4 linked regions of the Struthio camelus genome follow. The protein of the gene in region 1 interacts with the protein of each later gene in a biochemical or structural test. Links are inferred from orthologs where the notes say so. Each region holds a gene or a part of one and is shown in the gene's direction. Other genes may lie near its edges.

The links.
Region 2: of the proteins of IKBKG (region 1) and NFKBIA, one has a biochemical effect on the other in vitro, tested with the Homo sapiens proteins (15 studies listed by BioGRID and IntAct). The link is inferred for Struthio camelus from reciprocal best matches to the Homo sapiens genes IKBKG and NFKBIA.
Region 3: the proteins of IKBKG (region 1) and IRAK1 form a complex in vitro, tested with the Homo sapiens proteins (3 studies listed by BioGRID). The link is inferred for Struthio camelus from reciprocal best matches to the Homo sapiens genes IKBKG and IRAK1.
Region 4: the proteins of IKBKG (region 1) and SENP2 form a complex in vitro, tested with the Homo sapiens proteins (2 studies listed by BioGRID and IntAct, with this or other methods). The link is inferred for Struthio camelus from reciprocal best matches to the Homo sapiens genes IKBKG and SENP2.

What each region holds. Positions count from the first base shown.
Region 1 is NC_090979.1:45,534-52,810, reverse strand, and holds the start of IKBKG (NF-kappa-B essential modulator), read left to right. Parts: upstream 1-4,268; 5' UTR 4,269-4,283; coding exon 4,284-4,503; intron 4,504-5,821; coding exon 5,822-6,038; intron 6,039-6,109; coding exon 6,110-6,157; intron 6,158-6,241; coding exon 6,242-6,365; intron 6,366-6,518; coding exon 6,519-6,628; intron 6,629-6,700; coding exon 6,701-6,841; intron 6,842-6,924; coding exon 6,925-7,021; intron 7,022-7,277. Other genes in the region: G6PD (glucose-6-phosphate 1-dehydrogenase), read right to left, coding at 100-193, 282-407, 487-642, 729-946, 1,030-1,138, 1,230-1,267, 2,889-3,010, 3,782-3,836. UniProt on the Homo sapiens protein: Regulatory subunit of the IKK core complex which phosphorylates inhibitors of NF-kappa-B thus leading to the dissociation of the inhibitor/NF-kappa-B complex and ultimately the degradation of the inhibitor.
Region 2 is NC_090946.1:55,426,182-55,433,958, reverse strand, and holds the start of NFKBIA (NF-kappa-B inhibitor alpha), read left to right. Parts: upstream 1-4,761; 5' UTR 4,762-4,797; coding exon 4,798-5,051; intron 5,052-5,346; coding exon 5,347-5,455; intron 5,456-5,904; coding exon 5,905-6,115; intron 6,116-6,615; coding exon 6,616-6,704; intron 6,705-6,823; coding exon 6,824-7,084; intron 7,085-7,610; coding exon 7,611-7,658; 3' UTR 7,659-7,777. UniProt on the Homo sapiens protein: Inhibits the activity of dimeric NF-kappa-B/REL complexes by trapping REL (RELA/p65 and NFKB1/p50) dimers in the cytoplasm by masking their nuclear localization signals.
Region 3 is NC_090979.1:146,512-154,181, reverse strand, and holds the start of IRAK1 (interleukin-1 receptor-associated kinase 1), read left to right. Parts: upstream 1-4,667; 5' UTR 4,668-4,677; coding exon 4,678-4,846; intron 4,847-7,041; coding exon 7,042-7,209; intron 7,210-7,670.
Region 4 is NC_090950.1:3,002,174-3,009,694, forward strand, and holds the start of SENP2 (sentrin-specific protease 2), read left to right. Parts: upstream 1-4,516; 5' UTR 4,517-4,534; coding exon 4,535-4,641; intron 4,642-7,521. UniProt on the Homo sapiens protein: Protease that catalyzes two essential functions in the SUMO pathway.

The sequences.
Region 1 (7,277 bases):
CGCCTGAAGGCCCGGAGGGTCGCCGAGAGCCTGGGGGCGGCGGCGGGGGGCGGCTCGGGAGCCCACCAGAGGCTGCGGGGCGGGGGGGGGGGGGGGCACCTTCTCGTCCCGCACGTCGTCGGGGTCGGTGGAGGCCGGCTTCTCCATGGCCACCAGGCAGAGCATCTGCAGCAGGTGGTTCTGCATCACGTCCCTGCGGCGAGACGCGCCGTTGGGGCAGGGGGGCCGGGGGGGGGGCACCGCCGCGGCCCCCCCGCCCGCCGCCCCCGCCGCTCGCTCACCGGATGATGCCGAAGTCGTCGAAGTAGCCGCCGCGGCCCTCGGTGCCGAAGGGCTCCTTGAAGGTGAGCACGACGCAGGCGATGTTGTCCCGGTTCCAGATGGGCCCGAAAATGCGGTTCCCGAACCTGGCGGCGGGTGGGTGGGTGGGTGGGTGGGGGCCGCCCGGACCCCCCTTCCCCCCCCCGCGGGGCGCCCGGCCCCCACCTGAGCACCATGAGGTTCTGCACCATCTCCTTGCCCAGGTAGTGGTCGATGCGGTAGATCTGGTCCTCGCGGAAGAGGCCGCTGATGTGGTCCGAGAGGGCGTTGGAGCTGGCCAGGTCGCGCCCGAAGGGTTTCTCCACGATCACCCGGTTCCAGCTGAGCGAGGCGGGGAGGAAATCGCGGCGCTTAGGGTCGCGGCGGCGCCGCCGGGACCCCCGGCCCCCGTCCCGCCGGCGGCTCACCCCGGCCCCATGCAGGCCTGGCGGATGTGGCGGGTGACGGGCTCGTAGACGCTGGGCGGCAGGGCCAGGTAGAAGAGGCGGTTGGCGCGGGCGCCGCCGGGCAGGGCCCGCAGGTGGGCGTCGAGGCGCTCGAAGGCGCCCGCCTCGCCGTACTGCCCCGCCACGTAGCTGTTGCGGGCGAAGAAGGCGTCGAGGCGGGGGCCGTCCTCCGGGGAGGCCTGCGGAAACGGGGTGGGGGGCATGTCAGCGGGGCGGCGGCGGCGCAGCGGGGGCGGCGCGGGGGCGGCGGCGGCGGCGGCACCTTGAGGTAGGGCTGGCTCTGCTGGCGGATCTGCGCCACGCTGAGCGGCGTGCGGGCGAAGCCCACCACGTAGGTGTCGTCCGGCAGCAGCCCGTCCCGGAAGAGCCACCTGCGGGAGGAGGACGGGCAGCGTCGGCCGCCGGCGGGGGCAGCGAGGGCACGAGCTCGGGGGCGGCGGCGGCGCGGGGGGGGGGCCCTACCAGACGGTGGGGTAGATCTTCTTCTTGGCCAGGTCGCCCTGCGGGGGAAACAAAGAGTCGCGGGGCTGAGACCGGCCACAACTCGGTCCCGCGATGGCCGGCCCCAGCCTTCCCCCCCCCCCACCCACCCCGCTCTCGTTAGCGAGGGGGATTAACGAAGCGCGGGGAATGTGCTGAGTCAGGGGTGGCGGCGGGGCAGGGGGGAGCAGGGACGGGACGGCGGGGACGGCGGTGTCCCCGCCCCGGCCGCCGCGGGGTTACACAACGCCTGGGGTAGGCGGAGCGGGGGAAGGGGGGGTGTTTAATTAAGGGGTGTTGGGTAACGAGGCGTCCGGGCGCGGCGGCCCGGCCCCACGTGGGAGCCCGGCCCCGGCACGCCGCCGCCGGCTGACGGGGAAGCGCAGGAAGCCGCTTATCTCCGGCAAACACCGATAGCAGGGGGGAATCCTCACCCCCCCCCCCACCGTGGGCCCAGGCGTCTGGGCAACCCCCCCCCTCCTCTCACCTCAGGGGACCCAGGCGTCCGGGCCCGCCTCCCCCCCCCCCCGCCATAGGGAAAACGAGCATCCCGGCAGCCCTGTCCCGTCCCACCGCCCTCAGGGGGCCCAGGCGTCCGGGCACCCTTGCTCACATCCCCCCCCCCAACCCAGGGGTCCAGGTGCCCCCCCCATGGGGCCCAGGTGTCGGGGCAACACCCCCCACCCCCCCGATACCCCGGGGTCCAGGTGCCCCCCCCACCCCCAACGGGGCCCAGGCGTCCGGACAACTCACCCCCCCCGATACCCCGGGGTCCAGGTGCCCCCCCCACCCCCAACGGGGCCCAGGCGTCCGGACAACTCACCCCCCCCGATACCCCGGGGTCCAGGTGCCCCCCCCACCCCCAACAGGGCCCAGGCGTCCGGACAACTCACCCCCCCCGATACCCCGGGGTACAGGTGCCCCCCCACCCCCAACAGGGCCCAGGCGTCCGGACAACTCACCCCCCCCGATACCCCGGGGTCCAGGTGCCCCCCCCACCCCCAACGGGGCCCAGGCGTCCGGACAACATCCCCCACCCTGATACCCCGGGGTCCAGGTGCCCCCCCCATGGGGCCCAGGCGTCCGGACAACATCCCCCCCCCCCCGATACCCCGGGGTCCAGGTGCCCCCCCCACCCCCAACGGGGCCCAGGCGTCCGGACAACATCCCCCACCCTGATACCCCGGGGTCCAGGTGCCCCCCCCATGGGGCCCAGGCGTCCGGACAACATCCCCCCCCCCCGATACCCCGGGGTCCAGGTGCCCCCCCCACCCCCAACGGGGCCCAGGCGTCCGGACAACCCACCCCCCAGTACCCTAGAGTCCAGGTGCCCCCCCCAATGGGGCCCAGGCATCCGGGCGAAACCCCCACCCCCCCCCGATACCCAGGGGTCCAGGTGCCCTCCCCCCTCCCTCCAGGGACCCAGGCGTCCGGGCACCCCCTTCCCGACGGGGCCCAGGCGTCCCGACACCCTTTCCCTCCCCCACAGAGAAGTCAGGCCACCAGGGCCCAGGCGTCCGGGGCCGGGACGCGATGCTCCATCTTCTTCCTCTTCCCCCCCCACCACCACGCCCCACACGTAGGGGACCCAGGCGTCCGGGCCGGGAGCAAGCCCCCGCCCCCGCCAGCCCCCCGGCTCACCGAGGCCCCGAGGATGACGAAGACGTGGGGGTCGCCCTGGAGGAAGGTGTCGTCCCGGCACAGCTCCTGCCGCAGCATCCCGCACACCTCCGACCGGCTCAGCTCCTGCCCCGCCATGAGCCCTGGGGGCGACGGCCAGGCGGGGCTGGGGGGGGGGGGCCGGCCGTCGCCGCCTCCTGCCCCACCTCCCGCCCCCTTCCCTCCCGCTATTGCCCCACGGCTGCCCCCCAACACCCCCGTTATTGCCCCAGCCCCCCCACTGCTTCCCCCTCTGGCCCCTGTAAACCCCCCACCCCCTCCCACTGCCCCCTAGACCCCCCAACTGCCCCAGACCCCCCCTTGCCGCCCCCAAATACCCCCTTTTACCCCCCAGCCCAGCTACCTGCTATTGCCCCTGACCCCCCCTTGCCCCTTCTCACCCCATTGCCACCCCCCCTTGTCACCCCCGCTCCCTATCACCCCCCATTTCCCCTAATCGCCCCCAACCCACCTGCCCCCGTTTTCCCTCATTGCCCCCCATTTCCCCCAATCGCTCCCCAGTTTCCCCTACCTGCCCCCATTGCCCCCAATTGCTCCCTATTTCCCCTCATTGCCCCCTATTTCCCCAATCACCCCCTATTTCCCCCGACTTCCCTCATCTGCCCCCCATTTCCCCCTATTGCCCCCCATTTCCCCCTATTGCCCCCCATTTCCCCAATCGCCCCCCAATTTCCCCCCTGCCCCTATTGCCCCTCATTGCCCCCCATTTTCCCCAATCACTCCTCATTTCCCCCCATTTCCAACTGCCCCCCCGCAATTACCCCCACCTGCTACCTCCTCCCCGCCCCCCGCCTCCCATCCCCCGCCTAATTACCCCTAATTGCCCCGCTAATTACGCCCCGCCCCGCCCCCACCTGCTCCCTCCGGCCGCGCCGCCGCCGCTCCCCTCACGCTCGCGCGGCTCCCCATTTTCCCCGCGCCGGCCCCGCCCCACCGGCCCCCCTCTCCCGCGCCGGCCAATCGCCGCGCCGCACCCCGCCGTGCCACCAATGGGAAGGGCCCGGAGGCGGGGCCTCGCTCACCGCCCCGCCCCGCCGGCCAATGGCAGGCCCCTCCACCGCCCCCACGCGGCGGGCTCTTGCGGGCGCAGCCAATGGGCGGCGTCGGGGGGCGGCCCGCGGCGTATCCCCCTCCCCCCCGCCATCCGCCGTGCGCCATGACACCTACCGAGGCGGAAGTGCTTCGGTGCGCTCCCGGCGGCGCTTCCGCTTCCGGCGGCGCTTTCGCTTCCGGCGTCACTTCCGCTTCCGGCAGAGGCCGGAAGGGCGGCCGGGCAGCGCGGCGCTCGCAGGCCCGGGCGGCCCTCGGCGCCCCCCGCCGCTCTCCCCTCGGCGCCCGGTGCCGGCAGGCGGGCGGATGAGCGGCGCCCGGTGGCGGCGGCCCGCGGACATGGTGCAGCCCGGCGGCGGCGGCGGCGGCGGCCCCGGGTCGGGGCCGGCGGCGGGGCCGGAGCCGGGAGCGGCGGCGGCGGCGGTGGAGGAGGAGGAGGCGGCGGCGGCGCCGGGCCGGGCCCCGCCGGAGCCGGGCAGCCCCGAGGGGCTCCAGCGCCTCCTGGCCGAGAACCGTGACCTCAAGGGTGAGGGGGGACCTGGGCCTCCGGGGGCGGCGGCGCTGGGGGCCCTGGGAAGTACTGAGGGGTGAAACTGGGCAGACTGGGAGGTACTAGGGAGCAAGACTGGGGGGCTGGACTAGGGGTACTGGGAGACACTGGGAGGTGAGTCGGGGGGGACTGGGAGCTGCGGGGGGGCTGGTCTGGGGGCACTGGGAGGCACTGGGGGGGTTAGACTGGGAGGAACTGGGGAACTGAACGGGGAAGCACTGGGGGGGTTAGACTGGGGGGACTGGGAGGTACTGGGGAGCTGGACTCGGGAGCACTGGGGGGGTTAGACTGGGGGGACTGGGAGCCGCTGGTGGGTGAATCTGGGGGGCTGGACTGGGAGGCTCTAGGATGCTGGGCTGGCACCCAGGGGTGCCAGGTCAGCGGGGCCGAGACCCCCGCTGACCCCCCCGCCGTGTACCCCCCTGCAGAGGCGCTGCGGCGGCGCTGGGGTGACTGGGGGGCGCTGGGGGGGGCCGAGGCCCCTGCTGACCCCCCCCGTGTGTCGTCCCCCCCCCCGCAGAGGCGCTGCGGCGGCGCTGGGGGGCGCTGGGGGGGCCGAGGCCCCGCTGACCCCCCCCCGTGTGTCCCCCCCCCCCGCAGAGGCGCTGGGGCGACTGGGGGGGCGCTGGGGGGGCCGAGCCCCCGCTGACCCCCCCCCGTGTGTCCCCCCCCCGCAGAGGCGCTGCGGCGCAGCAACGAGGCGCTGGGGGCGGCGCTGGGGTGACTGGGGGGCGCTGGGGGCGGCGCTGGGGTGACTGGGGGGCGCTGGAGGCGGTGCTGGGGGGGCCTCGGCCCCCGCTGACCCCCCCCCGTGTGTCCCCCCCCCGCAGAGGCGCTGCGGCGCAGCAACGAGGCGCTGGGGGCGGCGCTGGGGTGACTGGGGGGCGCTGGGGGTGGCGCTGGGGCGACGGGGGGGCGCTGGGGGCGGCGCTGGGGGGGCCTCGGCCCCCGCTGACCCCCCCCGTGTGTCCCCCCCCCCGCAGAGGCGCTGCGGCGCAGCAACGAGGCGCTGGGGGCGGCGCTGGGGTGACTGGGGGGCGCTGGGGGCGGCGCTGGGGTGACTGGGGGGCGCTGGGGGCGGCGCTGGGGGGCCGAGGCCCCCGCTGACCCCCCCCCGTGTCCCCCCCCCCCGCAGAGGCGCTGCAGCGGCGCTGGGGTGACTGGGGGGCGGCGCTGGGGTGACTGGGGGGCGCTGGGGCGGCGCTGGGGCGACTGGGGGGCGCTGGGGGCGGCGCTGGGGGGTGCTGGGGGGGCCTCGGCCCCCGCTGACCCCCCCCGTGTCCCCCCCCCGCAGAGGCGCTGCGGCGCAGCAACGAGGCGCTGCGGCGGCGCTGCGACGACTTCCGCCGCTGGCAGGCGGCGCAGCGGGACGAGCGCGACTTCCTGCTGGGCCGCTTCCGGCAGGCCCGGGCCCTGGTGGAGCGGCTGCGCGCCCGCCCCGCCGAGCCCCCCCCCGGCCCCCCCGAGGGGCAGCGGGAGCAGGAGGAGCAGCAGGAGGCGGCCGCCGCCGGGTGAGGCCGGGGGGCCGGGGGGGGGGGCACGCCGCCGGCCGGCCCCCTCCTCACCGCTCTCCCCCCGGCAGGAGCGCGGCGGAGCTGCTGCGGCGGCGCCTGGCGGCGGCCGAGGCCGAGTGAGTGGGGCGCCGGGGGGACGGGGCGGGGGGGGGGGACGCACGCGGCGGCCCCCCCCGACGCCCCCGCCCTGCCGCCCGCAGGCAGGCGGCCCTGCGGCAGGCGCTGGAGGCGGCGCGGGAGGCGCGGGCGCGGGCCGAGAGCCGGGCGCAGGAGGCGGCGCGGCAGGCCGAGCTGCAGCTGCAGGCGCTGCGGCGGCAGCTGGAGGTAGGTGACGCCCCGCCGCCGCGCCGGGTGACGCGACGCCGCCGCGCCGGGTGACGCCGCCGCGCCGGGTGACGCCCCCGCCGCGCCGGGTGACGCCCCCGCCGGGTGACGCCGCTGCGCCGGGTGACGCCGCCCTCCGCCCCCCCGCCGCAGCAGGACAAGGCGTCGGTGAAGGCGCAGGTGACCTCGCTGCTGGGCGAGCTGCAGGAGAGCCAGAGCCGCCTGGAGAGCAGCCGGCGGGAGCGGGGCGAGCTGGAGCACAGGTGGGGGCGCGCGGCCCGGCCCCCCCCCCGCCGGCCCCCCCCCCGGCCCCGGGGTGACGCTGTCGCCGGCAGGGCCCGGGCGGCGGGCGAGCGGTGCCGGGCGCTGGAGGAGGCGGCGGCCGCCCACAGCCTCCAGCTGGACCAGCTCCGGCTCCAGGTGCAGAACCTGGAGGCCGCCCTGCGGGTGGAGCGCCAGGGGGCCACCGAGGAGAAGTGAGTGACGCCGGGGGGGGGGCTGGGGACAGGCGGGGGGGGGGCGCCCGCCCGGCCCCCTCCTCACCCGCCCCGGCCCTCAGGCGCAAGCTGGTGCAGCTGCAGGTCGCCTACCACCACCTCTTCCAGGAGTACGACACCCACATCAAGGCCAGCCTGGGGGACGACAAGCGCACCCAGGTGGGCGCGGGGTCCCCACGGCGGCTCCCGAGCCCCCCTTTCGTCCCCTTGGGGACCCCAGGGTGGCTCCTGGTCCCCTTTCTGGTCCGCTCAGAGCTCTGGGTGGCACCAGGGTGGCTCCTGGTCCCATTCTGGTCTCCTTGAGGACCCCAGGGTGGTTCGTGGTCGTCTTGGGGACCTCAGGGTGGCTCGTGGCCCCCTTTCTGGTCTCCTTGAGGACCCCAGGGTGGTTCGTGGTCCTCTTGGGGACCTCAGG
Region 2 (7,777 bases), on another chromosome or scaffold:
TTCCTATGTGAAACACGAACGCTAGCAAGCTTTGCTGCATCAAGAAACAAGCATCAGCTTAAGGAATAAGCATTGCATATTGCATGCTTTAACAAAACTTCCATGTGAGAAATAGGAATGACACTAGAGAAAACTTGTCTTCCAAGCAGCAGCCATTTTCAAATGAACTGAGCTATGTTTACTCTTAAGGCATAACAATAAAAGCAGTTTAAATTTATATGATACATCTCATCCCTAAGGATCTCCAGAAATGCAACAAATTTATATATAAACAGCCCACAGTTCACTCAGAGAAATGCAGATCTTCCCTGGGACACAACACATGAATTTAAGAGATGCCAGAAATAAGCTTCAGTCTAAAAATAAAAACAAAGGAGACCATAGTAGTAGCTGCAAATCTGGGTAGAAGTAATGCAACAAACCTCACCAGGCTCTGGCCAGGACACCCGCGTTAACTCCGTTTCTGTATCTGTGGAATATACATAGGATTTTAAATCCCGTAATCTGGACCTTAGCTTTATATGCCAAAAGGTCCCTCCAGCACTGTTTGCTTGGATATTATGTCAGCCTGAATAAGCCAGAGAAATACTGTGACTAACATACTATTTGAAGCACCTGTCACATGGCCACCTCTGATCAAAATGCGTGACGAGATAGGTGCAGAGGCCACAGCGTGTGTAAAACCCAGAAGCTCCCATCTAGGCTGACAAAAATGAACTTTGGTTAAGATTTCCATGACCTCATTTGGCCATTTTTTTTTATTGCTTCAAGTTAGTAACAGCCAAATTATTATTAGAAAGCAGGAGGATATTTTCCTGTTCTCGCTGTTTAACACTAGAGTCCAGCAAATTGTTTGAATCTGACAGCTGCCCAGTTCTCATCTCTGTAGCAGCTCTAGATGGGAGGCTGAAATGTGCCAATTTTAGTTGCAAAATGTTATCTGAATGACAATGTGAGGTGTTCTCTGGCTTCCGTTGCCCTAGCAAGGTCCTTAATTTTTTGGAGCAGTGAAACGGAGCCCTGTTCCAAAGAGCATACGGGTCAGGTAAGAGGTAGCTACACCACATGTATGCATCCAGATTGCCAGACTGAGAGCAGAAGAAATGCACTTTTACACAACTCTTTTGCTTTGCTTATGGTTTCAGCAGCCTGGGCCAAGGTCCTGCTGAATGTTGTGAACTACTTTTCCTGTTATGTTTACTGCTAAACTTGCATCGTCCTCGAGATTAAATGGGAGGAAATAGTTAATAGGTATCTGCAGCAGCCATCAGAGAAGGACGAAGTTGAGGAACCAACGCTGGTAATCAACAGCACCACAGCAACAGCACTAGACAGCTCTCATGATTAGTGTGGCAATCAGGAAATTACAGCTTAATGTGTTTGCTTGAGAAAGCAGCACGAGAATCTTTCCTGTACTTTAAAAACTGATTAAAATCCTACTGCCCCTTTTCAGTATTCAGGCACGCAAGGCTGCTTTTCAAAACCCTGCCAGCTGCGTGCTGCAAGTCAGAATAAAAACAAACACGTCGTTCCTGCAGCCCAACAGCACTGCAAATGGAGCGGTCAAGACACCCAGAGCGGAGGAGACTTTTGCAAAATCCAGGCTTTAGGTATCAGGCGCAAAATCACTTTGCGTGGTTGCAGCCTTTTACCTTGTCAAAGAGCTGTTTAGGCAGCCACTTGGTCTTGCAATGCCCTCCGTACTACGGTGCCCGTGTAACAAAGAACCACACCAGTTTGGACCCTGCAAGACGTCCAAGACACCCCTGCAGACGTCCTTTTCTGAACAAGATGAAACCGCTCCTTTGGTCATGCCGGTGTGGAGACCACTAACACAGTCTCACATAAAAAATGCAGAGAACCTCAGTCTCCTCTCAAGCTGATGAGCATAAGAAGCGCTGCTGCAAAATTTATACATTCACAGCGGAGTATCAGGCCAGAATAAACAAGAGGACCATCAGGCCTCCAGTTTGACAAAAACGACCGCAGTGTTCATAAAGTTTTGCTCCGTTTCAGGAGGGCTAAATTTGATCCTGGGGTTTCATGCGCTGCCCTCTGTCCCCGGGACGAACGCCTGGCCCCATCCCCTGGCAGCCCCCCCAAGTAACACCAGGCAACAGGCTGCATATGAAAGCAGATTTGAGACAGACGGTACATGACCAAAAGGGGAAAAAATGTGTATCCAAAAGCTGAGTTTGTTCCTTCCTTGTATTTTTATTTGTATTTTTATTCACTCATGCTGACTGTGTAGAAAATTGCATAGAATAATTCAGAATGTGTTAATTTGCAAAAAAAAGGACAGGTATTTCAGCAGCATAAAAGCAGTGTCCGTGGCCCTCTTCACAGTTTCAAAACCTTTCTTTTGTATTGCCTTCCACCAGCTCATTCCATCCCGTTCCGCAAATAGTGTAAAACAACATTGTTAGCTGTGAGAAGTCACAGAAAAGATAACTTTTTTTTTTTTTAACATGCATTCCCTCTGCCCTTGCACCCACAGGTTGTCTGTTACTGTCCACATGGGCTGGAGTTGTTTTTTGACCCGCGCTTGAAGGCTGCCTAACACCCTGGGGTGCTGGCCCACGTCTGGGTGCACTGAAAGCTACTTGTACCACCGAGGATGTCATTTTTCTCAGTATGAAGAAAACCAGTCTGCACGGCTGCTGCACCGGGGACGGCCCAGCAGCCGCAGCGGGGCCGGGCAGCAGAGCGGGACCTGCGCCTGGCTGCAGCCAGTGCTGTTTTTGGGGGCAGGAGGCAGGCTAATCTTGGCACGACTTTCCACAGAGAAGTCATTTTCCATCTCCTTTCTGTCCCCTCCAGCTGGCTGACGTAGCACTGCGTGCAGAGGTACACAGAGATAAGAGCATCGAAACACGCGTGCCCCCAAAAAGAGGTTTCTGCTGGCAAACGCTCTCCAAAAATAGCCCCGAGTCCGCCTGTGACAGCAGCTGGAGGTCAGCAATGGAAGGAGGCGCCGAGGGGCTTGTTCGGCTGAACTCGGGCTCCAGCCACCTCAGTGAGGAGGGGGAGTTTTCAAATTTAATTTCTATGTGGCTCCAGCAAAACTCTGACTGAAGGCAGCTTCATTCTCGCTGCACTTTAGTCCCCGATCGTTAGATAGTAGATAGAAGGCACTTGCTTTCAAACCCCAGTCTTCACTTTTTGCACAGAAGCAGGTCGGAGAGTCATTTGTTAAGTAAATTTCCCTTGCCGATTTACATTAAGAAGGGGAAACTTTTTCCAGAAAGTCATGACACTTTCATAACCCTTAACCTATAAAAGAAAGAGCTGTATAGCTTTTCTAAACCTGCCCCAAAACCACCAGTGGATTATCCCAGGCCTAATGGTGAATAATGAACAAAAGTCCAGGAAGGGTACAGCTGGGCTGCAGCTTGGGAACATCTGCTCACAGCAAGCCAGCCGTTCTCCTCTGGCGCCCCCTTTCATCTTTGGATTTTCTCACCAATTTTTTTTCAAAGGGATACCATCCCATGGGAAAACTGCAAAAGAAAAAATCTCAGACAATATTAGTCAGTGAGGCCGGCAATAGTTGCAAGGGATGAAAAATTCTTAATGGGAATCCCCCACATCTGAGAAGCAGCAGCAAAATTCACCAGGGAAAAAATCACCACTGCCAGTCCAGCAGACAAGGTCTTTTATCCATGTGGGAGCCTGCGTTTACCCAGCGTTTTCATTACCCGTGGCTGGTGTGACATCAGTAGAGACGATCAAAGAAGAGTAGTTAGAAATGGGTGCAGGGGGAATAATGCCAGGAGATGCTATTTCTTCCTTTAAAAGGTGCGTTCATTTACTGGTACGTGTCTTTTGAAAGAAGCCTGTTTGACGAGAACTGGATGTACAGGCACGGAGCACAGCTCTGTTATTCCTGATCCTGTTGCGCGGAAGCTAAGCGGATACTTACCACCAGCTGCAAGGTGCGGAAGCCTTTACACGCCGCATGCGAGGCAGCACAAGCTACGCGACACCAGCCCGCCCGCCGGCACGGCCGGGCTCTAAGACGCGGTGGCGCGCAGCACTATCTCAACCTCCCCAACAACTGCTGCGCCAAGAAGTTAGCGCCATCACGACACCGTCACGTTTTAGGACGGGCGGCCAGCACCGCGCTGCCCTCTCCCGGACCCCAGGCCGCGCCGGTGCCGCCCCAGGGCCCGGCGGGGAGGGCAGGGAAAGCCCCAGGGCAGCTCTGGCCGGGGCAGTCACCCGAGGCGCAGCAGGGAAGCACCGCAGGAGCGGGGTTAGTCACCCAGGCGGCCCAGTACTTCCCCGGCCGTGGAAAAACGCCAAGTTCCCGCTGCAGTAGAGGCCGGGCGGGCGCAGGGAATTCCTCCGCGCCGCCTCAGCCCGGCCCCCTCCCCTCCCCTCCCCTCGCCGGCCCGGCCCGGCCCACCCGCCCGCGGCGCCCAGCAGGACCAGACTCGTCCGTCGGCCCTTTGAGTGGCTGGAAATTCCCGGCCGCGGCGGCTCCTCCCCCGCAGAAATCCCCTCCGCCCGGTGTATATGCGGCGCGCCGCCGCCGCCGCCGCTCACTCGTAGAGGCCCGCCCGCCCGTCGCGCTGCCGCCAGCAGCAGCAGCAGCAGCAGCAATAGTAGTAGTAATAGCAGCAGCAGCAGCCGCCGCCGCCAGCAGCAATAGCAGTAGTAGTAGTAGTAATAGCAGCAGCAGCAGCAGCAGCCGCCGCCGCTGCAGCGCCGGCACCAACCGCCGCCCTCGGAGCCGCGGCGCGGAGGCGCCCCCCGCCCGCCCGCCCGCCCTCCTCCCGCCGCCCCGCCGCCGCCATGATCAGCGCCCCCCGCCCCGCCGAGCTGGCGGCCATGGAGGGCCGCGAGGCGCTGCGGAAGGAGCGCCCGGCGGGGCCGCTGCAGGACGACCGCCACGACAGCGGGCTGGACTCCATGAAGGACGAGGAGTACTGCCAGCTGGTGAAGGAGCTGCAGGACATCCGGCTCCAGCCCCGCGAGGCCCCGGCCTGGCCGCAGGGCGACCCGCCGCCGCACGCCTGGGCCCAGCAGCTCACCGAGGACGGAGACACGTAAGTCGCTGGGGGGCGGCGGCGGCGGCGGGAGGGGGGGGCCCGGCCGGGAGGCGCCGGGCGGGCCGGGAGGCGCCGCGCCGGGGCAGGGCCGGGGCCGCGGAAAGTCCCTGGAGAGGCGCCAGGAACAAGGCGGCTCCCGGCGGCGCCGCGGAAAGCCCCGGCCGCCCAAAAGCCCCCGGTTTCGCCACGCGGCACATGACGGGCGGGCGGGCGGCGCGGCCCGCTCGTCACCGCTGCTCCTGCGCGGGGGGGTTCTCATTCTTCTCTTTTTGGGGTGGTTTCCTTCCTGCAGCTTCCTCCACTTGGCGATTATTCACGTAGAGAAAGCCCTGAGCCTGGAGGTGATCCGGCAGACGGCCGGCGACCCGGCCTTCCTCAACTTCCAGAACAACCTCAGCCAGGTACTGGTCTGCGCCTGCCACCACCGCCCCGCTGAAAAGGCTCTTTATTTTTTTTCATGGATATGAAATCAAAGCCTGCGCTCAGAAAGGCACCCAGCCGACTCCAGTCAGTGTTAGTGTGACGCTTCCTCTCACCAGCACTGGCATTTAATGCCTGCGTTTTTTAAATGTGATGCAGTGGGTCACAGCCCTCTTCATTGTCACGTTGGTGATACCCTTCATATGACTGTTTGATATCTGGAGAGCTCAGAGTTCATCGCTTCCAGACAAGAAAGCAACTGTGCGATATATCAGGAAGCATAGCAATACCCTGTGTTTAGGGGGTTTGGTTTTAATTGGGCAGAAATCACCAACTGATGGAGGGTCTGCTTGTGCAGACGCTGCTGCTGCTGCTGTGTGCCATGTTTGTAGTGTCACTTACCACCCTGCGGTTTCCCTTTTGTCTGCAGACTCCGCTTCACCTGGCTGTTATCACTGATCAACCTGAAATTGCTGAGAATCTTCTGAAGGCCGGATGTGACCCAGAAATTAGAGACTTCCGAGGAAACACACCGCTCCATATTGCCTGTGAGCAGGGCTCCCTCAGAAGCGTCAGCGTCCTCACGCAGTACTGCCAGCAGCACCACCTCCTCCCTGTCCTACAGGCAACCAACTACAATGGTACGCACAGCCTGCTGCACCAAAATGCCAGTATGCTGTATTGAGGACAGGGTTCTTGTCCTGTAGATCTCAAAGACCTCTGGAAGGGTGGAAAAGGTTGAGGAAGCCAAAGTACATAGCAGGGTCCGATTTCCTTGGTTCGCTTATAGGCCTCCTTACTGATGATCATTGGCTGCCATAACTTTAAGCTCTGTGTTATTAATGACTACTTTTGCAAAATTTAATTAACTCTGAATATTTTATTTTGAGTGTTTCTATTTTTTGTTACAATAATTTGGAGTCAAACACTGAAATAAAGATAAGGCCTCTAAGAAGTCTTTCCAGAAATCTTTCCAAAAATCTTTCCCTGTTGCCCATACGTATTGGAAGTTGGAAGACTTTCTTGGAAAACACCTTTTTGCCCTGGATAAATTGCAATTATTCTGTCCTCCTGACTTTAAGTGAAAGATAACACATTAGATAAGAATTACTCAAATTTTGTCTTACTTTGCATTTTACAGGACACACATGTCTCCATTTGGCATCTATTCAAGGGTATCTGGCTGTTGTTGAATATTTGCTGTCCTTAGGAGCAGATGTAAATGCTCAGGTATGTAATTTATCTATGAATTTAGCTGAACAGGGTTGTGTGGTCATACGAATCAGCAGTTCTGACATGGGCAAGCCTGGCTCTCCTAACACGAAACATCTTGGGTTATTTTCATACAGGAGCCATGCAATGGCAGAACTGCACTACACTTGGCTGTAGACCTGCAGAATTCAGACCTGGTGTCACTTCTGGTGAAACATGGGGCAGATGTGAATAAAGTGACCTACCAGGGCTATTCCCCGTATCAGCTCACGTGGGGAAGAGAGAACTCCAGCATACAGGAACAGCTGAAGGAGTTGACCACAGCTGACCTGCGACTGTTGCCAGAAAGCGAGGACGAGGAGAGCAGTGAATCGGAATCTGAATTCACAGAAGATGAAGTAAGTAGCTATTTGCACCTTTTCATAGGAAGGGCCAAATTCTGCCCTTTCATACGTTTAAGTTGTATTTTTTGTTGGTGCCCTCATTACATATGGGTGACCTCTTACCTATATAACATACAAGTATAAATATCCCCATAAAGTAAGGTTACAATGTCAAGCGTTGGAAGTAGGGCATTTGGGCCAACGTATGAATAGAATGAACGTAAGAATAAAACATTAAAAAACCTTAGGGAATGGAGATTAATTTCGCAGAGCATGATTCTCTGAACATTGTCCTGTTGCTGATACTGACAGAACCTTGTGACATAAAGTTTCAGTTAATTTCTCCTCCCCACAATTTATTTTTCTAACATTCTCCATGCTGTAAATTGCAAATGATAGCAAATGTAACCATTGCTGTGTAGAAATTTCACACGCTACTGAAGTGAGGGCAAGCAGAATTTAGCTGAGTAGATATGATACTCGCAGTAAGAGTTTTGCATTAACAGCATTTTGGGATTTTTTTTTTTTTTTCTCCTTATAGCTTATGTATGACGACTGCCTTATTGGAGGACGACAGTTGGCATTTTAAAGCAGAGGTTTCTGTGAAAGGAAGTGACTGTGTACATATGTATAGGAAAAGGACTGGCATTCTTCATTTAAAAAAAAAAAAAAACTGTGGAAAAAAAGTACAGAAATACTACACTGCCC
Region 3 (7,670 bases), about 100 kb from region 1:
CCCTTCCCCGCACGCTCGACCGCGTGGCGCCGCTGCCCGGGGGACGACCCCCTCCAGCAGCGGTCGGGGCGCTCGTGCGAGGGGGGCGCTCGTGCGGGGGGGCGCTCGTGCGGGGGGGGCGCGCGCGCGCGGCCTCGGCTCGGCGCTTTACTCGTTCTTCCAGGTTTATTTTTGGGGGGTTGTTTTTTTCCACGTTTTTAGCCTAGGGAACCATTTGCACTAACCAAGCCGTGGACGGAGGCGCCGGGGGCCCCCCGGGATGTGCCTTTGCCCATCCGCCGCCGTGCGCCGGCCCCCCTCCCCGGCTTGGCTACGGCGCGCGGCGGGATCCGGTCTCGGCCCGCTCCGGAGCGACTCGGGATTGGGGCGGGAGCCGGCCCGGAGCCAATTGGGAGTGACTCGATGGAGTGGGATCCAGTCTCGAGCCAATTAGGAATGAGTTGGGGGGGGGGGCAGGTCCAGTGTTGATCGAAGGCTGAGTCGCTCCGGATCGGGGTGGGATCCAGTCTCGAGCCGGTCAGGAGCGACTCTGGATTGGAGTGGGATTTGGTCTTGACCCAATTGGGAGAGACTCTGGATTGAGGCGGGATCTGGTCCTGAGCCAGTCAGGAGTTCTCCCAACTGGGGCGGGATCCGGTCTCGAGCCAATCCGGAGCGGCTCTGGATTGGGGCGGGATGCGGTCTCAAGCCAATCTGGAGCGGCTCCGGATTGGGGCGGGATGCGGTCTCGAGCCAATCTGGAGCGGCTCCGGATTGGGGCGGGATCCGGTCTCGAGCCAATCTGGAGTGGCTCCGAATTGGGGAGGGATCTGGTCTCGAGCCAATCCGGAGCGGCTCCGAATTGGGGAGGGATCTGGTCTCGAGCCAATCCGGAGCGGCTCCGAATTGGGGAGGGATCTGGTCTCAAGCCAATCCGGAGCGGCTCCGGATTGGGGCGGGATCCGGTCTCGAGCCAATCCGGAGCGGCTCTGGCTCAGGGAGGCCCAGCCTCTGTGCAGTTGGGAGTGACTCCGCACTGCAGGCAGGATCTGGCCTCAGTCCAGCCAGGAGCAACTCTGGATTGGGTCGGGATCTGGTCTGCGCCCCAGCAGCCCCGGAGCAGGTGGGGAGAGCGGGAGGAGGATCCGGCCGTGGGCCAAGGAGTAGGGATTGCGGATCAGGGCGGATCCGGCCTCAGCCCGACTGAGAATGACTCTGGGTTGAGACGGGATCTGGCCATGATCCAATTGGGAGTGACTTTGGATTGGAGGGGCGGATCCGGTTTCCATCCGGTGGGGAGTGACTCTGGATTGGGGCAGGATCCGGTCTTGATCCAGCCGGGAGTAACGGTGGGCTGGGCTGGGATCTGGTCCCACCCCAATCCGGAGTGACTCCGGATTGCACCGGGATCCGGTCTCGAGCCAATCCGGAGCGACTCCGGATTGGGGGGGGGGGAGGAATCCGGTCTCCGCCCAACGGGGAGCGCCTGTGCCGCCCCCCAACACCGCCCCCATTCGGGGGCCGCCCAAAATCATGCGCGGGGGGGTCACCGCCCCCCCAATCATTCGAATCATGAGTTTTTCCCCATTTCCTCGGCCGAGCCGGGGTCGGGGGGGACTCCCCCCGTCCTGCACTTTACCGGCCCCCGGGAGCGGCGGGGGGGCCGTTTCGGGGGGTCACCGCCCCGGGAAGTAGCACTGGCGCGAGGTTCTTCCACGCCGCCGCGGGGGCCGGGGGGGCCTGCGCCCCCCGTCTTCCCCCCGCCAGGGACTGTTAGCGCTCGCCCCCCCCAAACTCGCCGCTTTTGGGGGTTCCCTGTTATTCCGTGTCCCCCCCCCGCCCCGGTTCGTCATGGCAATAAAGGTGGGGGGGGGCCCGGCCTCCCCGGCCCCCTCCGCGGCCCGGGGGGGGACGCGGCCCCGTCCGCCAGAGCCCCGGTCCCCACCCCGCCCTGTCCCCTTCCCCCCCCGGCAGACCCGTTTTTGCTAAAAAAACAAAAGAGAAAAGAGCAAAAAAAAAAAAGAAAAGAAAAAAACCACACACAAAAGAGAGCCGAAGTCGCGCCGGGGGGGAGCAGGGCCGGGCCCCCCCGGCCCCGAGCGCAGAGGCAGCGAGTGGGTGCGAATGTAACCGTCCGTGTGCGGAGGCTCCGGAGATAACCCTGTACCTATTTATTATATATATATACGACAGAAGACGTTTGCCTTATAAATTTACAAGAAAAACCACGGCTGTCGATTCTTTTTGGGCGGCTTCGCGGCGTCCGCGGGCCCCGTCCCCCCGCTCCGCTCCCCCCGCGCGGCGGCGGCGGCGGCGCCCCCGCTCCCCGCTCCCAGCAAAGTACTCGGCAAACATGCTCTCCGCGCTTTAGTTGCATCTCTTGTTGGTAAGTACTGTAACCTGTGCTAGATTTGATCTATAAATCTGTGTAAACCCAACGCCAGGCTCGTCTGCCGTCATTCATTAACCGGCACGCGGGGGAGAAGGGCCCCGAGCGGCTCTGGCTGCCCGCGCGGAGCCGGAGCCGGAGCCGGAGCCAGAGCGAGCGGCAGCGCCCGCCGGCCCCGCGGCTCGGGCGCATCCGCAGACGCCGTGGCCGGGCGGAGGTTTCCAGTGCCGGATCAGCGGCGGTCGGCGCCGGGGACGCCGCAGCTGGGCGGAGGTTTCCATCACCGGTGGATGGATCCAGAGAGGCCATGGCCAGGCAGAGATTTCCATCACCGGTGGATGGATCCGGAGACACCATGGCTGGGTAGAGATTTCCATCACTGGTGGATGGATCCAGAGATACAACGGCTGGGTGGAGATTTCTATCACCGGTGGAAAGATCCAGAGACACCACGGCTGGGTAGAGATTTCCATCACTGGTGGATGGATCTGGAGGTGCCACAGCTGAGTGGAGATTTCCATCACTGGTGGATGGATCCAGAGACACCACAGCCAGGTGGAGATTTCCATCACCGGTGGATGGATCCGGAGATGCTGCAGCTGGGTGAAGATTTCCATTGCTGGTGGTTGGATCCAGAGATGCCATGGCCGGGCAGAGATTTCCCTCTCCGGATTGCCAACAGTTGGGTTTGGAGACACTGTGGCGTGGCAGAGCTTTCCATCTCCGGATCGCTGGCGAATGCAGAGTGGCTCCATGTCATGGCCACGTTGGAAGGATGTTGATCAGCCTTGGGTGGATCTGAAGTGAATCCAGATCGCCAGCCGGTGATCTAAGGTTGCTCAGGAGACAGCAGCTCGGGTAGATCCTCCAGCTTGGGTCATGCAAGTGACACAAGATCCCGAATCCGTCTGCAGACGCCAGGTCGGGGCAGATCCTCCATCTCCAGCAGGAGATCTGCAACGGCTCGAGTTGCACGTAGGTCCATCTGGCTTGGGTGGATCCGGAGTGGCATGAGATCCTGGGCAGATCTTCCAGCTCGAATGGATCTGGAGCGACTCCAGATCACGACAGTTCCTGCGCTGGAGTCACAGCATCCCGGATCTCATCCCAGGCTCTGATCCCAAGTTGCTCTGCTTGGCACCAGCTCCCCGCCGCGTTGACGGGGAGTCGCTCCGCGTGGTGGTGCCGGAGCCGATCCGGAGCTGATCCACGTGGTGGTGCCAGAGTCGATCCACGAGGTGGTGCCAGAGCTGATCTGGAGCTGATCCACGTGGTGGTGCCGGAGTCGCTCCACATGGTGGTGCTGGAGTCGATCCGGAGTCGATACGCGTGGTGGTGCTGGAGTCGATCCGGAGTCACTCCACATGGTGGTGCTGGAGCCGATCCGGAGTTGATCCGCATGGTGGTGCTGGAGCTGATCTGGAGTCGATCCGCGTGGTGGTGCCGGAGCCAATCCAGAGCTGATCTGCGTGGTGGTGCCGGAGCCGATCCTGAGCTGATCCACGTGGTGGTGCTGGAGCCGATCCGGAGTCGATCCGCGTGGTGGTGCTGGAGCTGATCCGGAGCTGATCCGCGTGGTGGTGCTGGAGCCGATCCAGAGTCGATCCGCATGGTGGTGCTGGAGCTGATCCGGAGCTGATCCGCGTGGTGGTGCTGGAGCCGATCCGGAGTCGATCCGCGTGGTGGTGCTGGAGCTGATCCGGAGTCGCTTCCGGCCGCTTCCATCCCCATCCCATCCCCATGCCATCCTCAAGTCCGGAGTGAATCTGGAATCACTGGGGGGGGGGGGGACCTGGGTGTCTGGGCAGCTGTGACATCATGGCCTTGATGATGTCATCGTGGGGCACCTCAGTGATGTCATCGCCTGGATGATGTCATCGCGGGGAGGGACCTGGTGAGTGAATCACTGCACACGGCACAGGACTCCCACCCCACCTCGGAGCCCCGCCCCCTTTGCCCCGCCCCGCCGAGCAGCCCCACAAGCCCCGCCCCTTTCGGTCAGACCACGCCCATTCCTCAGCGTGCCCTCCTATCGCCCCGCCCCAGCCCCGCCCTTTCCCACCATCCTCCCCCCGAGGCGCCTCGCTCAAGATGGCGCCCTCGCTACACCCCTTTCCGTGGTGGGGGGGGGGGTGTCTTCCGCCACACCCAACGTGGCGCCCGCGCCGCCCGGTAACCGGGCCGCTGCGGGAAGAGGCGGCACTTCCGCCACGCTAAAGATGGCGGCGCGGCTGGGCCGGCGCGCGCTTGCGCAGTAGGGCGGCCGCTCTTAAAGGGGAAGTGACCCGCGGAGGGACCGGCGGGCGGGCATGGCCGGGCCGGGGCCGGGGCCGGGGCCGGGGCCGGGGCCGGGGCCGGGGCCGGGGCCGGGGCCGGGGCCGGGGCTCGGGCCCTTCCTGTACGAGCTGCCCGCCTGGCTCATGTGCAGCTTCTGCCGCCTCATGGACGCGTTGAGCCACTCGGACTGGGAGCGCTTCGGTAACTGGGCGCACTGGGGAGGACTGAGAGCGGACTGGGGCGGGCTGGGACGGACAGAGATGAACTAGGGTACATTGGGACTGGACTGGGATGGACTAGGGTGTACTGGGAGCGGACTGGAATGGACTGGAAGGGATGGAGATGGACTGGGATACACTGGGATACCCTAGGACTGGACTGGGATGGATCGGGATACACTGGGATAGGACTGGGATGGACTGGAATAGACAGGGATGGACTGGGACACACTGGGACTGGACTGGGACAGACAGGGATGGATCGGGATACACTGGGACTGGACTGGGATAGACAGGGATGGACTGGGACACACTGGGACTGGACTGGGACAGACAGGGATGGACTGGGACACACTGGGACTGGACTGGGATAGACAGGGATGGACTGGGACACACTGGGACTGGACTGGGACAGACAGGGATGGATCGGGATACGCTGGGACTGGACTGGGATAGGGATGGACTGGGACACACTGGGACTGGACTGGGACAGACAGGGATGGACTGGGACACACTGGGACTGGACTGGGATAGACAGGGATGGATCGGGATACGCTGGGACTGGACTGGGACAGACAGGGATGGACTGGGACACACTGGGACTGGACTGGGACAGACAGGGATGGATCGGGATATGCTGGGACTGGACTGGGATAGACAGGGATGGACTGGGACACACTGGGACTGGACTGGGACAGACAGGGATGGATCGGGATACACTGGGACTGGACTGGGATAGACAGGGATGGACTGGGACACACTGGGACTGGACTGGGACAGACAGGGATGGATCGGGATACGCTGGGACTGGACTGGGATAGGGATGGACTGGGACACACTGGGACTGGACTGGGACAGACAGGGATGGACTGGGACACACTGGGACTGGACTGGGATAGACAGGGATGGATCGGGATACGCTGGGACTGGACTGGGACAGACAGGGATGGACTGGGACACACTGGGACTGGACTGGGACAGACAGGGATGGATCGGGATACGCTGGGACTGGACTGGGATAGACAGGGATGGACTGGGGCAGACCAGGATGGATCGGGGTGGACAGGGACCTGACTGAGGTGGACTAGGACATGACTGGGACGGACTGGGACCTGACCAGGATGGGTCGGGGTGGACAGGGACTGAACTGGGGTGGACTGGGATGGACTGGGACCTGTCTGGGATGGACTGGGACCTGACTAGGATGGACTGGGACGGACAGAGACCTGACAGGTGGACTGGGACCTAACTAGGATGGACTGGGACTTGACTGGGACGGACTGGGACAGCCCGGGACGAGTTGGGGCGGACAGGGACTGGACTGGGACGGACTAGGACCTGACCGGGACGGGTCAGGGTGGACAGGGACCGGACTGGGACGGACTGGGATGGACTGGGACCTGACTGGGATGGACTGGGGTGGACTGGAATGCGCCGGGACAGGTCGGGGCGGACAGGGACTGGACTGGGGTGGACTGGGACCTGACTGGGATGGGTCAGGGCAGACAGGGACTGGACTGGGAGGGACTGGGACGGACTGGGACCGGACTGGGACCGGACTGGGACGGACTGGGGCTGACTGGGATGCGCCGGGACAGGTCGGGGCAGACAGGGACTGGACTGGGGTGGACTATGACCTGACTGGGATGGGTCAGGGCAGACAGGGACCAGACTGGGAGGGACTGGGATGGACTGGGATGGACTAGGACCTGACTGGGGTGGACTGGGACCCACCGGGACGGGTCGGAGCGGACAGGGACTGGACTGGGGTGGACTGGGACCTGACCGGGACAGGTCGGGGCAGACAGGGACTGGACTGGGGTGGACTGAGACCGGACTGGGATGGACTGGGGTGGACTGGGACCTGACTGGGATGGGTCAGGGCAGACAGGGACCGGACTGGGAGGGACTGGGATGGACTGGGATGGACTAGGACCTGACTGGGATGGACTGGGGTGGACTGGGACCCACTGGGACGGGTCGGAGCGGACAGGGACTGGACTGGGACCTGACTGGGACGGACTGGGGCTGACTGGGACCCGCCGGGAGGGGTTGGGGCAGACAAGGACTGGACTGGTGTGGACTGGGACCTGACTGGGACGGACTGGGGCGGACTGGGACCCGCCGGGACGGGTCGGGGCGGCCTGGGCCTCGGCGGGCGCTGACCGCCTCCGCCAGCCTCGCGGGTGGTGCGGGACCAGGTGGAGCTGCGCCTGGCGGCCGCGACCTCCAGCCCGACCCACAGCGTCGTGTGGGGCTGGAGCCACCGCAACGGGCGCCTGGGCGAGCTGCTGGCCCTGCTCCGTGAGCTCGACCTGCGCCGCGCGCACGACCTCCTGGCCGCCTGTGAGTGCCCCGGGATCCCCAGATCCCCCTCGGGATCCCCCATAACCCTCCAGGTCCCCCTGATCCCCTCAGGATCCCCCAGATCCCCCTCGGGATCCCCCTCGGGATCCCCCATAACCCCCCCAGTCCCCTCATTCCCCCCGGGATCCCCCAGATCCCACTGATCCCCCTCAGGATCCCCTGTAACCCCCCCCAGTCCCCTCATTCCCCCCGGGATCCCCCAGATCCCACTGATCCCCCTCAGGATCCCCTGTAACCCCCCCCAGTCCCCTCATTCCCCCCGGGATCCCCCAGATCCCACTGATCCCCCTCAGGATCCCCTGTAACCCCCCCCAGTCCCCTCATTCCCCCCGGGATCCCCCAGATCCCACTGATCCCCCTCAGGATCCCCTGTAACCCCCCCCAGTCCCCTCATTCCCCCCGGGATCCCCCAGATCCCACTGATCCCCCTCAGGATCCCC
Region 4 (7,521 bases), on another chromosome or scaffold:
AAGTGTGTTGTTAGCCAGCTGAGGGACCTCCCTGCCCTGCTTCCAGAGTCCTCCTCAGTCCACACAGGGGTGGAGAACGCTGTGGTGGACCTTCTCAGCTGATCGAAAAGTGACATGATGACAGCCCGTGGGCAAGGAAGAATGTCTTGGAGATGTTAGTGGGCAGATGAGAAGACAGGCATGAATGCAAATTTGCCCTTCTTAGCTGAGGTAGGAGGTCAGTCAATGCCCTACAATTTTAGAGCTTGAGAAACAGAATGTGGTGCTTTAAAAATAGGTTTTTTATTCAGTAATGGGTTCTCTGTACTCTGCCCAGAATGACACGCGAGTGTAAAATGGAGTCTGCCTTCTGGACTGCTTATCGAGGGGACAGCAGCCATTTTACGGGGAAGGCACAGACAAGCTGAGAGGTCCTCAAAGAAAGGTCATCTCTACTCCCACAATGTGCTGTCACGTTTCATGTTCACATGCACGTAAGATTACCCAGCCAGACACACTGAAGACACGGGCACTTGAATGAAGTATGTCCCACTGGCTACAGCAAAATGTAAACACGTGCTCAAATGGGTTGCTGAACAGAGATGTGCTTACATTTATGTACATACGGACCAAGAAACCAAAAGGGATAATAAAGAATTAAGCTGTGAACTTAACCTTCAGCTATGTAAATTACAGGGAACAAAAAATATAACCAATGTGAAACAGTATTATAAATGCACTTTAACTACAGGCACTGTGTTATAAAGTGTAATCTTGCTGAATTGGGACAGTGGAAAACAGCAGGCAAGTTTCAGCCTCAGAGTTATCTAGGATGAAAAATATTTTTTCCAACCACTTCTGCTGTCACACGATATCCCACTTGATAGAGTGTGATTGTATAAAATGGGCTGACCAGCCAAACACATACTAGTCATAAGGTAGCTATGTTGACAAATTGAATCATATTTAGTGGGATTATACCCAAGGCAAAGAATTCTGAAGATTAGTAACTGAATGTGAAAGCATCAGCAAATGTATGCTGCTGAGACTCGTACTGCTGGTTTGGGAGCGCTGTGCTCCAAACCCACAATTTAAACTCCTCCTCTTTGCAACTGGGAACCAATATTTGTATGAAGTAACTGAAAGCATGAGCACTGACAGCTAGATTGACGAGATGACCAGCGCTGTACTAGGCTAGCGCAGCACACATTGGTTGCTTTGTAGGGCACAATGCCTAGGGCTATCTATCTATCTAGGTACTATGCCACCTTGACATCATCTTAAACTCATGTACAATAAAGAGATTTTAATGATAAGTATATTATAGCTATGCTTTCAGATACCTAAAATTACCATTCATCTATTTCCAAAATTAATTATTCAAGTGGCATCACTTTATCATGATCATGTAACTCCATGTTAACTCTCCTCATGTGTCTAGGACAAATCCTTTGGGTTGTACAGGCTTATATGGATTTCAAAATGGAGCCTTGCAGTTGCATTAACCCTGTTTTTACTGACAGTTACTTTTCAAGCACGCTCACAGACATAAATACGGACCTTTTGTGAAGCATTAAAATAATTATCCTCGCACTATTCTTGTGAGGATAAGGAAGTGGTGTTATCAGAAGTTTGTTTAAAATAAGGGAAGCTTGTTTAAAATAGCAAACAGATTTCCTGACGAGAGTTCTCTTTTTTTTTTTTTTTTTCTGAACCTTAAGACTTCTCCTGCAATGGGTTAGACCACATGATGGGGGAGACTGCAGCTGGGGTGACCACGCCTGCCAGAGCAACTCCTGCACGCATGAACCCTGCTCCAATGCATGTGCTCCCCAGCTGCTCTGCTGCCATTTCCCTGTGCCAGGACTGCACATCAGCCAGCTGGACGCCTGCGCTTGGCATCGGGCAGAGCCGGAGAGAAGCCACTGCGCTGTCTGTGCTGCCAGCGCATCACCTGCAGACAGGGAAGCAAGAAGTGCAGGACAACTGAGTGAGCCTTATGTATGACAAGCCTGCCTTGGGTTCAGGGAAGACCCCTTTCCCAAGAGTCCAGCCTTCCTCTTTTCCATGATTACTGGATTGCATTATGTTGTCTAGTGAGTTCAGTGCTCTTGCTTTCTATCTGCACACTTCACTGTGCACTGAAACAGCAGTGTCGCAGGTAAGTCTTGACTTTGCAGAGCTAAACCTCATGCCTTTCCTTAGGCAGGGATTTAAATAAATTTCCCTGCACCCACTCCATCTCTCTGCTGCAGGATTCACCTAAAACATACAGGCCGGGCAGAAATGAAAGATGGAATAACTGACTGGAAGAAGTATTTCCAAGCCACAGGCTCACTGCAGGCCCTGCATGGTGCTGCTGTGCCCTCTGCTGGACTGCTTCTCCAGACCTTTGCAGGCCTTGCTGCACCTCATTTAAAGCCTTCCCACATGCTGCCTTAGTCCCTGCGCCACTGGGTGCTGACCCATCTCTCAAATTGAAGCTTTGTGTCCAAGTCTCAGTCATTCCCTTCCTTGGCCAGTGCCCTAAACCGTAAATGGAGCGGTAATTAAGTTCCTAGTATAATGAGCAAGGTCATTTTAATATAACAAGGCTCTTTGTACCACCGTCATTTATACTCCCTGTAGGCATGAACAGCTAGCGGGTCCTCTTGCAACAAGTGCATCCTGTGAAAGCGCCTTCCCTGTTCCAAGCACATTAGTCCTCCCAGCTCACTAAGGCTTTATTCTGCAGCTTCCTTAAGGCAGTTTAGTTTTCTTACACTTTATTGTTTTCAGTTCTGATGTGGAAAGTCTCTCCAGGAGGTGGCTACAGCAATGCCTGCAGCATCCCCTGCTGCCAGCACAGTGGATCGTCTCAGTCTCCAGTGTAGCCATCAGTGCACCTTTGAGTTCCTGCAGTCATCTGACCTCTGAACAATGAGTGGCCATTTTGGAAAAGATGTAATTGATAAAGTTACACAGGCAGCACACCCCCACCCCCACCCATGCTTTGGGTTAAAAAAAAAATAGAAAGAAAGAAAAAGCCAAAAGGCCCAACTAAAAATGAGATCTCTTCATTCTCAGCTGATTTTTGAAGCCATGAAAATATTCACTTTTAAGGTGCCTTTTTTCCCCCCAGAGGAACCCATAAAGTAGACATTGGCATCTCCGCAATAGCAGAGCATGCGAGCACACCAAGTAGCTGACCACTCTAAAGGTCAAGCAACAGCACCTCAACTTTCCTTAACGATGGATGGGCATGACCCCTGTTTTTGAACAGTCGGTCTCTTTGATGAAACTGTGGAGAAACTGAATAATCCAAGGAGCGGGCAGTCATATTAGGTAAGTCATGTATTAACCTGAAACTAAACTGCTGTGAGATTTTGAGTAATCGTCCAGGCAAGAAGTCTTCCCAGCCCTCCCCACCTCTCATGCAACCATGTCAAGAGGGTCAATGAACCCCCTTTGTACTATCCAAATAATTGGTCCAAAACCAGTGATTTCTACCACAAAGATAATAGACAATATTTGTCAAGCCTCCTCTCTTGTGACTGTCTGCTAGACCAAGTGATCAGCAAGTACCAAGAACTCTGTTAACAGCAATGCAGAACAAGGTATTGCTCTAACAGCAAGCCAAACCTATCAAGAGAGTAATCTACCAGAGAAACTTCAGTGTGCCCACTCCAGAAATCTTAGACGCCGAGCAAATCACACGGCAAGGCAAAAGCAAAGGGAGCAGCAGAGAGAATGGGCTCAAGAGCTCTGTTGCTGAAGCAGGGCAGGACTTTGCAAGGCCAGGATCTGGATCTCCAAAACACCTGCTTGGAGACTGCCAGGGAAAAGGGCAGATACTGGCTCCAACGTGCTCTTCGAGTTGCTTGATCTCCCTCACCATTGTCCTTCTAGTGATAACGCCGCAGTGTTACTCAGGCCAAAGACCTCTTCCAGTCTTTTGGGATGGCGCACGCTTCTCCCACACAGCAGGAGCAGCCTCTCTTCCCCTTCCACGTGGGACAAGGGACACCAAGGACCAGGAAGGGCCCAGCAGCTCCAGGCTGCTGCCTCCCTTCTCCGGGCACCGGGGGCTGTAAAACCCCTGGAGCCCAGCAGGCCTCGGCACGCAGCTCTGCCCTCTGCTCCACGCAGAGGCCTGTGCACCAGGCCCAGGAGCACCCCAGCGCCTGCCCGGGCTGCACCGAAAGACAGGAAAGCTCTGAAGGCGTCGAATAAAGCTTCTGCCAGCGGATCAGCTGCTGCTGCTCCTTCTTCATTCCTCCTCTTCCTCCCCCCCCTCCCCTCCCCTCCCCGCCCTAGGCGGAGGGGCCAGGCCACGGGACGGCAGACCGCCCCCCACCCCCCCCCGCCTCCACGAGGCGCCTCACGCCGCCGGCCGCCGAGCGGCGCGCATGCGCTGTGCGCCCCGCCCCCGCCCGGCGCGCAGGCGCCCCGCTTCCGCCTCTGCTTCCCGCGGGGGCGGGAGGCCGCGCGCCGCCACAGCCAATGAGGGGGGGAGGGGGGGAGCGGCGGGCCGGTCGCGCGGGATGCGCGCACTTCCGCCGCGGCGGCCGGGCCTATGTACCAATGGCTGCTGGGGGCCCTGGGCGCCCTCCTCGCCGCCGCCCGCCGTGCCGCGCCGCCCCCGGCCCCGCCGCCGCCGCCGCGCAAGAGGCCGCCCCGCAGGTCAGCGAGCCGCCCCGCCGCGCCCCCTTAGCCGTGGGGCCGCCCCGCCGCTCCGGCTCCCTCGCGCAGGCTCGGCCGCAGCCGCCTTGGCCTCCGCCACGGTGCCCGCCGGCGGCGGGGCCTGGCCGCCGGGGAGCGGCCGCCCGGCGGGCCTCGGTCGCCTCCGCTCTGGGAGGCGGAAGCTGAGGTGGTTGCTGTGTTGCATCGTAAGCTTAGGCCCGGTTTTGTCTCGTTCCCTGGGGTTTCTCTCATTCCTGCTGCTGTCTCTCTGGGTCTGCCCTGGCCCTTGGCCCGCTCAGAAGCCCTGTTCCCGGGCGGCAGGGCTGGCGCCGGGCCTTTTTAAGGCGTCTGCATCATCCAGCATCCTTTTCCGCCCTGGCCCTGGAGCCGGTGAAGCAGGCTGGGCTGCAGTGCTCGTTCTTGCCCCAGGCTGTTGGCCTTTTTGCCCCTCCGTGGCGCTCTGTGCTTACGGTCACGGTTACTTTGCGTGTCCTGCGCAGATCAGTTTGACTGCTGGATGTGCCTACTGAGTCCATTAGCAAACTCCTCCCCTTGCTCACTTTCTGTCGTAGTGGGGGTATGAAGGCAAGAGATTTGGAGCACGTGTGTTTTCTTGGAGCAGGAGGGACAATGTATGTGTATATAGGGTTTTATTGGATGAGGGAAAGTCATGACGGGGGATAGAAACGTGAGGATCATAATATGGTTCGCATATGTATACAGAGCGGAAGAAAGGGGGATGCTGTCACAGATGTTCACTGTTGGTGTTTCTAAGTGACCTGGAGCCCTGGCTGATGGCTGAACCATCTCTGTGCCTGTCTGAAGGGAGCGAGCGTACTGCTTGCGTGCTATGGTTTGCCAAGCATAGTCACTTCCTCTGTGAGGAGCTGTTGCTCCAAGAGGTTCTTGAGGCTGTGCTTAGTATCGGGCGTTTCAGAGTGAACGTGAGAAGTGAAGGTGTTCTGAGCTTGAAAGAACCAGTTGCTGCATAAGTAGTTTTTCACAGCTGCTGTGCAGTAAACAAAGAGCAAAATCCCAAACTGAAGAATTCACCTTTGTAGACACCACAGACTTTTATTTCATAGTTTGGCCAGGAAGGCTCTGTTGGCTAGCTGCTCACTGGAAATAACAGTGCTAAGCAAGTGGGATGAAAGGCAAATGAAACTGCATTAGGTGGCTTCAGAAGCTGTCCTGCTGCTGAATATAAGTTTTCAAACATTGTTAACTGAAACGTGCTGTAAAATGGCAAAGATATTGTCAGGTCACCTTTGTGAGTTTGTTCAGGGAAATGTAAAGCACAAAACTCAGCTGTGGATGGGGCAAGTGCTTATTAAAATTCAAGTGGAGCAGAAGAGTGTTTTCAGCTAGCGTTGTAGCACGATAGGTGCAGGAAAGTTTTGAGCTAGGAAAACTCCCATTCACTGTTCAAAACTAAAGCAACAGGTGAACAGCGAAAGTAACAAAACAGTGAAAGTCCCCCAAAAGTTGCTTGCTTTGCTACTTATAGCCCCTTGCTGTTTTCCCATAGTAGAAAGAGGAAAAGCTGGGGCTGGTGAAACCGGTGGGGAAAGCAGATACACATAGCTACTACTGTAGAGCACTGCTGAAGTGCAGTACTCAATTTTCTTTGATTAACCTGTGAAAATTTGAATTTATCTGCAGCTTTATATTATAAACCTTAATGAACTGTTCTCTGTGCTCTTGCAGGGCAGGGAGGGGGGTTTGAAAAGAACAGAGCCTGAGCTTACGCACATACATACATACATATATATATATATATATATATATATATAGCATTATTGCACTTTTCTAATACCTTATTTTTTTTTCCTGTGGCTGCTGAAGAGGAAAGTAAAATGATGGCCACAAATGGGTGCCGTCTCCCCTAGAACAAGGGGAAGGATGCGAGCGTATCCTTGCATGTACAGCAGTCTCAAATGGCTCATGTTTTCTGGCCTGTTTTTTCAGCTTGTTTCAAATATTGTTTGACATCAGTGTCCTTATTCCTGTCACCCAGACCCTTGGTAAAACCTAGATTGTAATGACAGAGCGTAACCTCCTCAGAGGAGGTGTTTGCATTCATGTTGGAGACAAAGGTAGCTAAGCATAGATTCATTTCTTTCCTAGCTGCCGTCTTTTACCTGTCTGCGTTCCCTGGCCATGCCTACTTTAGACAATCAAGGAGTTCCGAATTTACATCTGAATTACCAAGAGATAATTCATCTTTCCCAGTGATCAGACTAATTCTAAACACCCAAGTATTTGATAAATTAAAAAAGGACAAAATAACGCTCTCACAGATGTTTAGTGCTCTGCTAAAACTGGAGGATGATGCATTTCTGTTCAAGAGCAGTTACTGTTACCACAGGCACGTATTTAAACTATGCTTACCTCAAAATGTAGCATTGAGAAGGGTGAACTGTACTTTGGCTCTGCTAAGACTAATGCTGGAAAATTTTCACTGAAGACCAGCTCAGAATGAAACTTAGCTCTTGCTTTACAAAAAAAAAAAAAAAAGATCAGGAGGACACAGACATATTTTTATCCTCTTCAGTTTTACCTTCTGAAATATCAAACTTGCACTTAACACCTGCCCCCCCATATTTTCTTCCTGCCTTTATTAGCATATCAATAGCTCTATATGAAAGGTGCAGTTAAGGATATCAGTTATGTTTGAAGAGCTTTTCGTGCACCCGATAGAAAAGGAAGATAGTCCACTAGTGATGGTACCAGCTTTGTTTGGGAGCGTAACAGTTTTAAAGGAATTATTTTGTTGAAGAAAGACCAAAGAATCCTTACAGTGCATCACAGCCTTTTTGGAAGCAAAGGGAAAAGCCATTAGAAAACACTGTCTGTTCCCAAAGTGAAACCTTTTGCAAT